2 linked regions of the Oryctolagus cuniculus genome follow. The protein of the gene in region 1 interacts with the protein of each later gene in a pairwise test. Links are inferred from orthologs where the notes say so. Each region holds a gene or a part of one and is shown in the gene's direction. Other genes may lie near its edges.

Region 1 (3,745 bases):
AGGAAGTGGTTGATCTAAACCAGGCAGGAAGGGCCAGCCTTGTGGCGCAGCAGGTTAAGCCAGCTGCTTGGGATACTGTTTCTAATCCAGCTTCCTGCCACTGCACCTAGGAAGCAGCAGACAATGGATGGTCCGAGTATTTGGGCCCCTGCTACCCACAGGGAACATTTGGATGGAGCTCTGGGCTCCTGGCTTCTGCCTGGGTCAGCCTCTGCTACTGTGGCTGTTTGGGGGAGTGAACCTTCCGGCGAAGAGCTGTCCCTGCCCCCTCTCTCTGTCAAATAAATAAATCTTTAAACCCAGAAATAAACCATGCCGGATTGAGGCCTGCATGCACCCTGTTTTGCAGACACTACCTAGCTTGAGGGGGAGCAGCCAGTAGCACAAGCTCAAGCCACCTCCCCATTCTGCAGTCTGGGGCCTGTGGGCTGACTATCCACTCTCTCTTGCAGGTGTCCTTAAGTTTGCCCGCTTGGTCAAGTCCTACGAAGCACAGGATCCCGAGATTGCCAGCCTGTCTGGCAAGCTGAAAGCTCTGTTCCTGCCGCCCATGACGCTGCCGCCTCATGGGCCGGCTTCCGGCAGCAGCGTGGCTGCCTCCTGAGAATCGGGCTGCCCTGGGCCCTGCTGGGAAAGGGAAGAGTGCTCCAGAAGATAATAAATGCACCTCTGACTTGGCCTTGGTCTCAGTCTCTTGTGGTCCTGATGGTGTTCACCCCACGCCCCAGGTGCCCTCTGCCTTTCCACCTGCCCAGGCTGCCCCGGCCCCCTACCCAGAGCTTCCCACACCTGCTGCTGCAGTGAGGGCCCAAGGCTCTCCACCCTCCCCCACCCCCGGGCAAGGTGAGAGGCTGGAAAAGTCCCTCAACACCCTGGGTGGGTGCGCCTGCACAGATGCCACTCCTGTCTGAGCACCTGGGCTTCCAGGGCTCTGCCTTAGGCCCCTGGGTTTTCCGCGGACGGAGCCGGCCCCTCATTGGTCAGGCTTTGCTTGGCCAGGGTTACTTCCTGGTCTTTGCCCCTCCCTGTCCTCCTGCTGCTCTCCGCCCGGGCTCCAGGTGGAGCTGCAAGTGGCTCCTCCCCTCCCAAGGGAAGGAGGCCCTGGCCCAGGCAGGCAGCCCCGCTCCGCAGTCCAGCAGGCCTGCCGGGGGAAGCAGGATGCCCGGGGCGGTCTCAGGCCAGCCCCGCCCCACCTATCTTTTACCCAGAGACCAGTAGTCCAGGGGCTCGTCCCTGCAGTTCCATTGGCCTGGCGGTCTGGATCAAGGAAGAAGTGGCCGGGTTCGCAGCGTGCCTTCTCACCTGACCTGGGCCGCTGCACACGGCTGTGCCCCTGGCTCGGCCCTGCCCCCCTGTGGCCATCTGCCTGTCGCTCCCCCATCCTCCAGGGAGATGCTGTCCCGTGGGTAAGTCCCCAGCACCACCTGGGTCCCACAGTCTCCTGGTTGTTGGTGGGGGGCGTTGTTCCTGCTCATTTGCAGATGTGAGAGTGAGCGTTGAATGCTGTTGCCCTGCTCTGGGTCCCAGGCTCATTCATATTCTGCTCCCTTATTCTTGAGCACTTACACCCCCCCCCCCACACAGACGGGTATCTGTTGTCCCCACTGCATTTCTACCTCCAGCCTCCCATCCCCTGCTTCTGCCTCCTGCCTAGGACCTGTCCCCCCTGCTAGCGCACATCACCTTGAACCTGAGTCCTAAAGCTCCCAGCTTCCACTTCCCCTCACTTCCCAATGTCTGGTCTGGGTTCCATTCATTGCTTCCACTCGTCCTGCTTCATTCGTTTAACAGATACGTGCGGGACATCAGGTGCTGTTTAGGATGCTGATAATCCTGGCAGGAGCAGGACAGATAGTACCTGCTCTCATGGAGCTTACCTTCCACTGGGCGGTGACGAAGCCAATAACTCAGTCCATAGGATAACTTCATGTTCTCACAAGTGTTACATGGACATGTATAGCTAGCTAGTGGCTGGTTCTGGTGACACTGCCAGCTGGAGGAGTCAGGGAGGGCTTCCTGGGGAGGTGACATTTGAGCTGAGACCTGCAGGAGGAGGAGGCAGCCATGTGGTGATCAAAGCCCTGATGTGGGGACAGATGAGCAAAGGCCACTGTGGGAGGGCAGCAGGGGAACCCAGTGGGGAGGAGGCAGGGCCGGGCAGAGTGACCCCACAGGAACTGGGATGTTATAAAGGAGCACCTCCCTAGGAAGTGCTGGTGAGGCTGTGGGTCACTTGGCCTCCTCTTCTCACTCCTATGCCCCTTCCTTTCTGTGCACGCTGCCTCCCTCTATGCACAGGGGTTCACACCCCCCCCACCCCCACACTCAGCCCCATCAATCTCACTCATGAGATTCTTTTTTTTCCTAAAGATTTATTTATTAGGGCTGGCACCGTGGTGTAATGGGCTAAGCCTCTGCCTGCAGCGCCAGCATCCCCTATGAGCACCAGTTTGTGTCCCGGCTGCTCCTCTTCTGATCCAGCCTCTTTACTATGGCCTGGGAAAGCATTGGAAGATGGCCCAGGTCCTGGGGTCCCTGCACCCATGTGGGAGACCCGGAAGAAGCTCCTGGCTCCTGACTTCAGATCGGCACAGCTCTGGCCATTGCGGCCATCTGGGGAGTGAACCAACAGATGAAAGAGCTCTCTCTCTCTGACTGCCTCTCTGTAACTCTGCCTTTCAAAGAAATAAATAAATCTTAAAAAAAAAAAAGGGGGGGGGGAGAGAGATTCGTTTAAAAAAAATGCTTTGGGTGGGGCTGGTGCCATGGCACAGAAGGTTAATCCAACACCTCCGGCACTGGCATCCCATATGGGTGCTGGTTCTGGTCCTGGCTGCTCCTCTTCCCATCCAGCTCTCTGCTATGGCCTGGGAAAGCAGTGGAAGATGGCCCAAGTGCTTGGGACCCTGCACCCATGTGGGAGACCTGGAAGAAGCTCCTGGCTCCTGGCTTTGGATTGGCGCAGCTCTGGCCATTGTGGCCATTTGGGGAGTGAACCAATGGAAGGAAGACCTTTCCGTCTCTTCTTCTCACTGTGTTTAACTCTACCTTTCAAATAAATAAATAAAATCTTAAAAAAAAATGTTTTGGGGGCCAGCGCTGTGGTGTAGTCAGTAAAGCCACCACCTGGGATGCCAGCATCCCATATGGATGCTGGTTCGAGTCCTGGCTGCTCCAGTCTGATCCAGCTCCCTGCTAATGCACCTGGGGAAGCAGTAGAGGATGGCCCAAGTGCTTGGGCCCCTGGACCCATGTGGGAGACCTGGAAGAAGACCCTGACTCCTGGCTTCAGCCTGGCCCAGCTCCTGCCATTTTGGCTATTTGAGGAATGAACCAGCAAATGGGAGATCTCTCTCTGTCTCTCCTTCTCTCTCTCTCCTTCTCTCTTTCTCTGTAACTCTGCCTTTCAAATAAATAAATACATCTTTATAAATTTTTTTTGACAGGCAGAGTGGACAGTGAGAGAGAGAGAGAGAGAGAGAGAGGTCTTCCTTTTGCCATTGGGTCACCCTCCAGTGGCCACTGCGGCCGGTGTGCATTGTGCTGATCCGAAGCCAGGAGCCAGGTGCTTCTCCTGGTCTCCCATGGGGTGCAGGGCCCAAGCACTTGGGCCATCCTCCACTGCACTCCCTGGCCACAGCAGAGAGCTGGCCTGGAAGAGGGGCAACTGGGACAGAATCCAGTGCCCTGACCGGGACTAGAACCCGGTGTGCCAGTGTCACAGGCAGAGGATTAGCCTATTGAG
Region 2 (3,745 bases), on another chromosome or scaffold:
CCTTGTCCAGGCTGCGTGTGCCACCCCACGCCTGGGCACGGGTGGCTCCGCTCCTGCTCCTGGCGGATCTGCTCACCTCCCTACAGAGGTGCCCACCGGGGGTGGCCTCATCTCCAGGGGCTTCCCCAGGACCCACAGCCGAGCCCATCAGGCATTGTGCCCTAGCTGCAGGGAGATCCTGGGGCTGTACGTGCCCAGGACTGAGGACGAAGTCCCAGCCCGTGGTGGTGAGGAGTAAGGGCAGCTGCCATCACACCCACGTGGAGACCCAGAGACCTGGCATTTGCCACTGCTGCACTCAGGGCCGTGCTGTGTGTGACAGCACAAACTACTAAGCAAGCACCTGGGAGTCCTAGAAGGGGTAAATATGGTGCGATCGCTCACACCCCAGAGCCCTGCAAGCCTGGGACTGGTGGGCTACACAGCTACGTGCGTTAGTGGGTATACACCTCACGGACACTGGCTGAGCAGCAGGAGCCGGGCGCACACCGAGAGAACGGGGGCCCTTTCACGCCCATGTAAGGAGCCGACGGGAAGTCCAGTCCACACTCTTAGGAGGCAGGACACACGTTGCCACTGGAGAGAAGCCATGCGTGCGTTTCCCAGGGAGCAGGGCGTGACCGTGGCTGCTGGCAGAGGACAGGAGGGCAACCTTCTCCTATGAAACCCCTGTTACTAACAAAGAAACAGGATGCCAGAGCCCCGGAACATTCTGCCGTCGGTGTGGTCACCAGCTGCGCTTGCTCAAGTGCCCCGCACTGAACCAGAGGGGATTGCCAGATGCCAGTAACACCAGCCCCGCTTCCTTCCTGTGCCTGGAACACGACGGCCACACAGACAGAGCCCAGTTTCTGTCAGGAAGGAGGGGGCAGCGGACATCTGCCATCTGCCGCTGACACCTGATCCAGGAGACCGATAGCGCCTCGCTGTCCTCAGAGCAGTGGATTCGAGAAGCTGGGAAGCGGGGCCTGCCTCGGGGCTCTGTGTGCACAGGTGCATTCCCAGTGCGGCCAGGTGCCCGTCTGCCCAGGCCGCAGGCCAGTCCCAAGTCTGGTCTCCTGATCGAGCTATACCGTTGGGGTTTTGCATATGCTGTTGGGCCACCCCACCCCTGCCCGCTTCCACAGGATGCTGGGGGAGATGGGAGATAGCTCATGTTAGCCCAAGATAGAGATTATAGACAGACAGATGACAGACAGACCCCTACGGGTACAAGACGACAGCATTAGCATGAGAGCTGTCCTCTTAAGAAACGGTAAGCGTCCACGGCCTCCACGGGTGGGGTATTTGGTGCGGTGGTGAAGACAGCCACGCCCACCAGGGCCTGGCTTCCAGTTGCCACGCCCACCAGGGCCTGGCTTCCAGTTGCAGCTACACCTCCACTTCCAACTTCCTGCGGATCATCTCAGGAGGCAGTGGTGGTGGCCCACGTGGTTGGATCCCTGCCCCCTACGTGGGAGACCCAGACTGGGTGCTGGGATCCTGGCTTCGGCCTGGCCCAGCCCCAGCTGTTGCAGGTATTGAGGGAGCGAGCCCGTGGATCTCTGTCTCTCTCTCTCTCTCTCTCTGCCTTTCAAATAGACGAAGATTAATGACTGAAGCAGTGTTGCTGGGCGATGTTTCACGGTGACTGTGGGCCCGGTTCTGCACAGTGGACTCACCTCGCCTAACTGAAAACGTGTGCCTTTGGTCACCCCTGCCCTGGCACCCAGCTCCGCAGCCTTTGGTCTGTGAACTTGTCCTGTGGGTGGGACACACGTGGCGCTTGTGTGTCCGCGGCTGGCCCATTTCACACAGAACCTGTGCTCGAGGCCCATCCGTGTCCCACGCGTGGATTCCTTCCTAGGCTGTGCAGCACCCCACTGCGTGTGCCCACCACACTGTCCGCTCGTGCGTCTGTGGACACTCGGGCACTTCCAGCTCTTGTGAGCACAGCTGTGGTGGGCAGGGGAGGGCAGGCGTCTCTGCTGCACACCAAGTCCATGGCCTTGGTCCACATCCAGCAGTGGGCTTGCAGGGTCACAGAATGGCTCCATGTCTAACTCTTTGTGTGTGTGTGGCTAATTTCGCCATTCAAAGGATTTTTATTAACATATACTTATGTCTGCAGTGCAACATTTGAGTACATACTTTCTTTTTTTTAAGATTATTTATTTGTAAAAGTTAGAGAGAGGTCTTCCATCCCCTGGTTCACTCCGCAGATGGCTGCAACAGTTGGAGTTGGGCCAATCCGAAGCCAGGAGCCAAGAGCTTCTTCTGGGTCTCCCATGTGGGTGCAGGGGCCCAAGCACTTGGGCCATCTTCCACTGCTTTCCCAGGCCACAGCAGAGAGCTGGATTGGAAGTGGAGCAGCCGGGACTCAAACCGGTGCCCATATGGGATTCTGGCTCCACAGGCAGCAGCTTTATCCACTACACCACGGTGCCAGCCCCCATATACTTTTTTTTTTTTTTTGACAGGCAGAGTAGACAGTGAGAGAGAGACAGAGAGAAAGGTCTTCCTTTGCCGTTGGTTCACCCTCCAATGGCCGCCGTGGCCAGCGCGCTGATCCGAAGCCAGGAGCCAGGTACTTCTCCTGGTCTCCCATGGGGTGCAGGGCACAAGCACTTGGGCCATCCTCCACTGCACTCCCTGGCCACAGCAGAGAGCTGGCCTGGAAAAGGGGCAACCAGGACAGAATCCGGCGCCCCGACCGGGACTAGAACCTGATGTGCTGGCGCTGCAAGGAGGAGGATTAGCCTAGTGAGCCGTGGCACCGGCCAACACATACTTTCTTAAAAATTGTTTTCTTCACAATAATTGTACAGGTGTAAGGGCTACCAGGTGACATTTCAGTTCACATCCCCAGCGTGCGCTGATCAAATCAGGGTAGCCAACATGTTCCACATCAGTTCGCGAGTGCAGGCTTGGATTTCTTTCTTCTGTTTGTCCGTAGACTATACGCGAGGTTAATGTGAACCGTGGGCCCCACTATGCTGGGTAACTAGGAGTGTACTCCTTCTACCTAAATCTGATCTGGTACCCACTTTCCAAACTCCCACTGTCCCTCCTACCCCTCCCAGCCTCTGGTAATCACCATTCTGGGTTCAGATTGAGGTGTTTTGTTTGGTTTTATTTCGTTTTTTTTTTTGAGCTCCCACATAGAAGGGAGAACATGCAGTGTTTGTCTTTCTGTGTCTGGTTTATCTCACTCAACATGATGTCTTCCGCTTCCAGCCATTTTGCTGCAAACGTCAGGTTTCGCTCTTTTTATTCCGTTGTGTATGTGCACCGCATTGTCTCATCCACTCATCCTAGGCTGGGCACCTGGGCTGACTCTGTGTCTTGGCTGCCGTGAACAGAGCTGGGACAGCTGGGACAGCTGGGACGGCAGCAGTGAGTCCCTGTTCTTCTGGGTTTGTACCCAGGAACGGGGCTGCTGGGTCACAGGCCGTCCTGGCTCTTGTTCTTTAAGGAAGCCCCACACTGTTCCCACAGTGACTGTGCAAACTTGCATTCTCACCCACAGTGTGCAAAGCCCACGTGCAGGCTTCCGTAGTGATGGCACGCCCCCCCCACCCCGTGTCCCCTGCCCCCAGCACCGTGCTCGCTGTACTCTCCCGCCTGGTGGGGGTTCTACCACAGACCAGCGTAGTCAGCACTTGCGGGGGTTCCTACTTTAAACGTGGGGAAGTGTCCGTTCCCAGAACAGACAGCCAGCCTGTAGCCCAGCCTTTAACCTGCCCCGTCCCGTAGGTGCAGAGCA

The links. The genes of interacting proteins can lie anywhere in the genome.
Region 2: the proteins of PTPN6 (region 1) and LAIR1 interact in binary tests that used the Homo sapiens proteins (3 or more experiments, as listed by UniProt). The link is inferred for Oryctolagus cuniculus from reciprocal best matches to the Homo sapiens genes PTPN6 and LAIR1.

Annotation. Positions count from the first base shown.
Region 1 is NC_091440.1:102,598,239-102,601,983, reverse strand, and holds the start of PTPN6 (tyrosine-protein phosphatase non-receptor type 6), read left to right. Parts: upstream 1-1,195; 5' UTR 1,196-1,392; coding exon 1,393-1,406; intron 1,407-3,745. Other genes in the region: C9H12orf57 (protein C10), read left to right, coding at 453-604. UniProt on the Homo sapiens protein: Tyrosine phosphatase enzyme that plays important roles in controlling immune signaling pathways and fundamental physiological processes such as hematopoiesis.
Region 2 is NC_091449.1:4,209,838-4,213,582, reverse strand, and holds the start of LAIR1 (leukocyte-associated immunoglobulin-like receptor 1), read left to right. Parts: upstream 1-1,398; 5' UTR 1,399-1,517; intron 1,518-3,577; exon of another isoform or gene 3,578-3,735; 5' UTR 3,736-3,745. UniProt on the Homo sapiens protein: Functions as an inhibitory receptor that plays a constitutive negative regulatory role on cytolytic function of natural killer (NK) cells, B-cells and T-cells.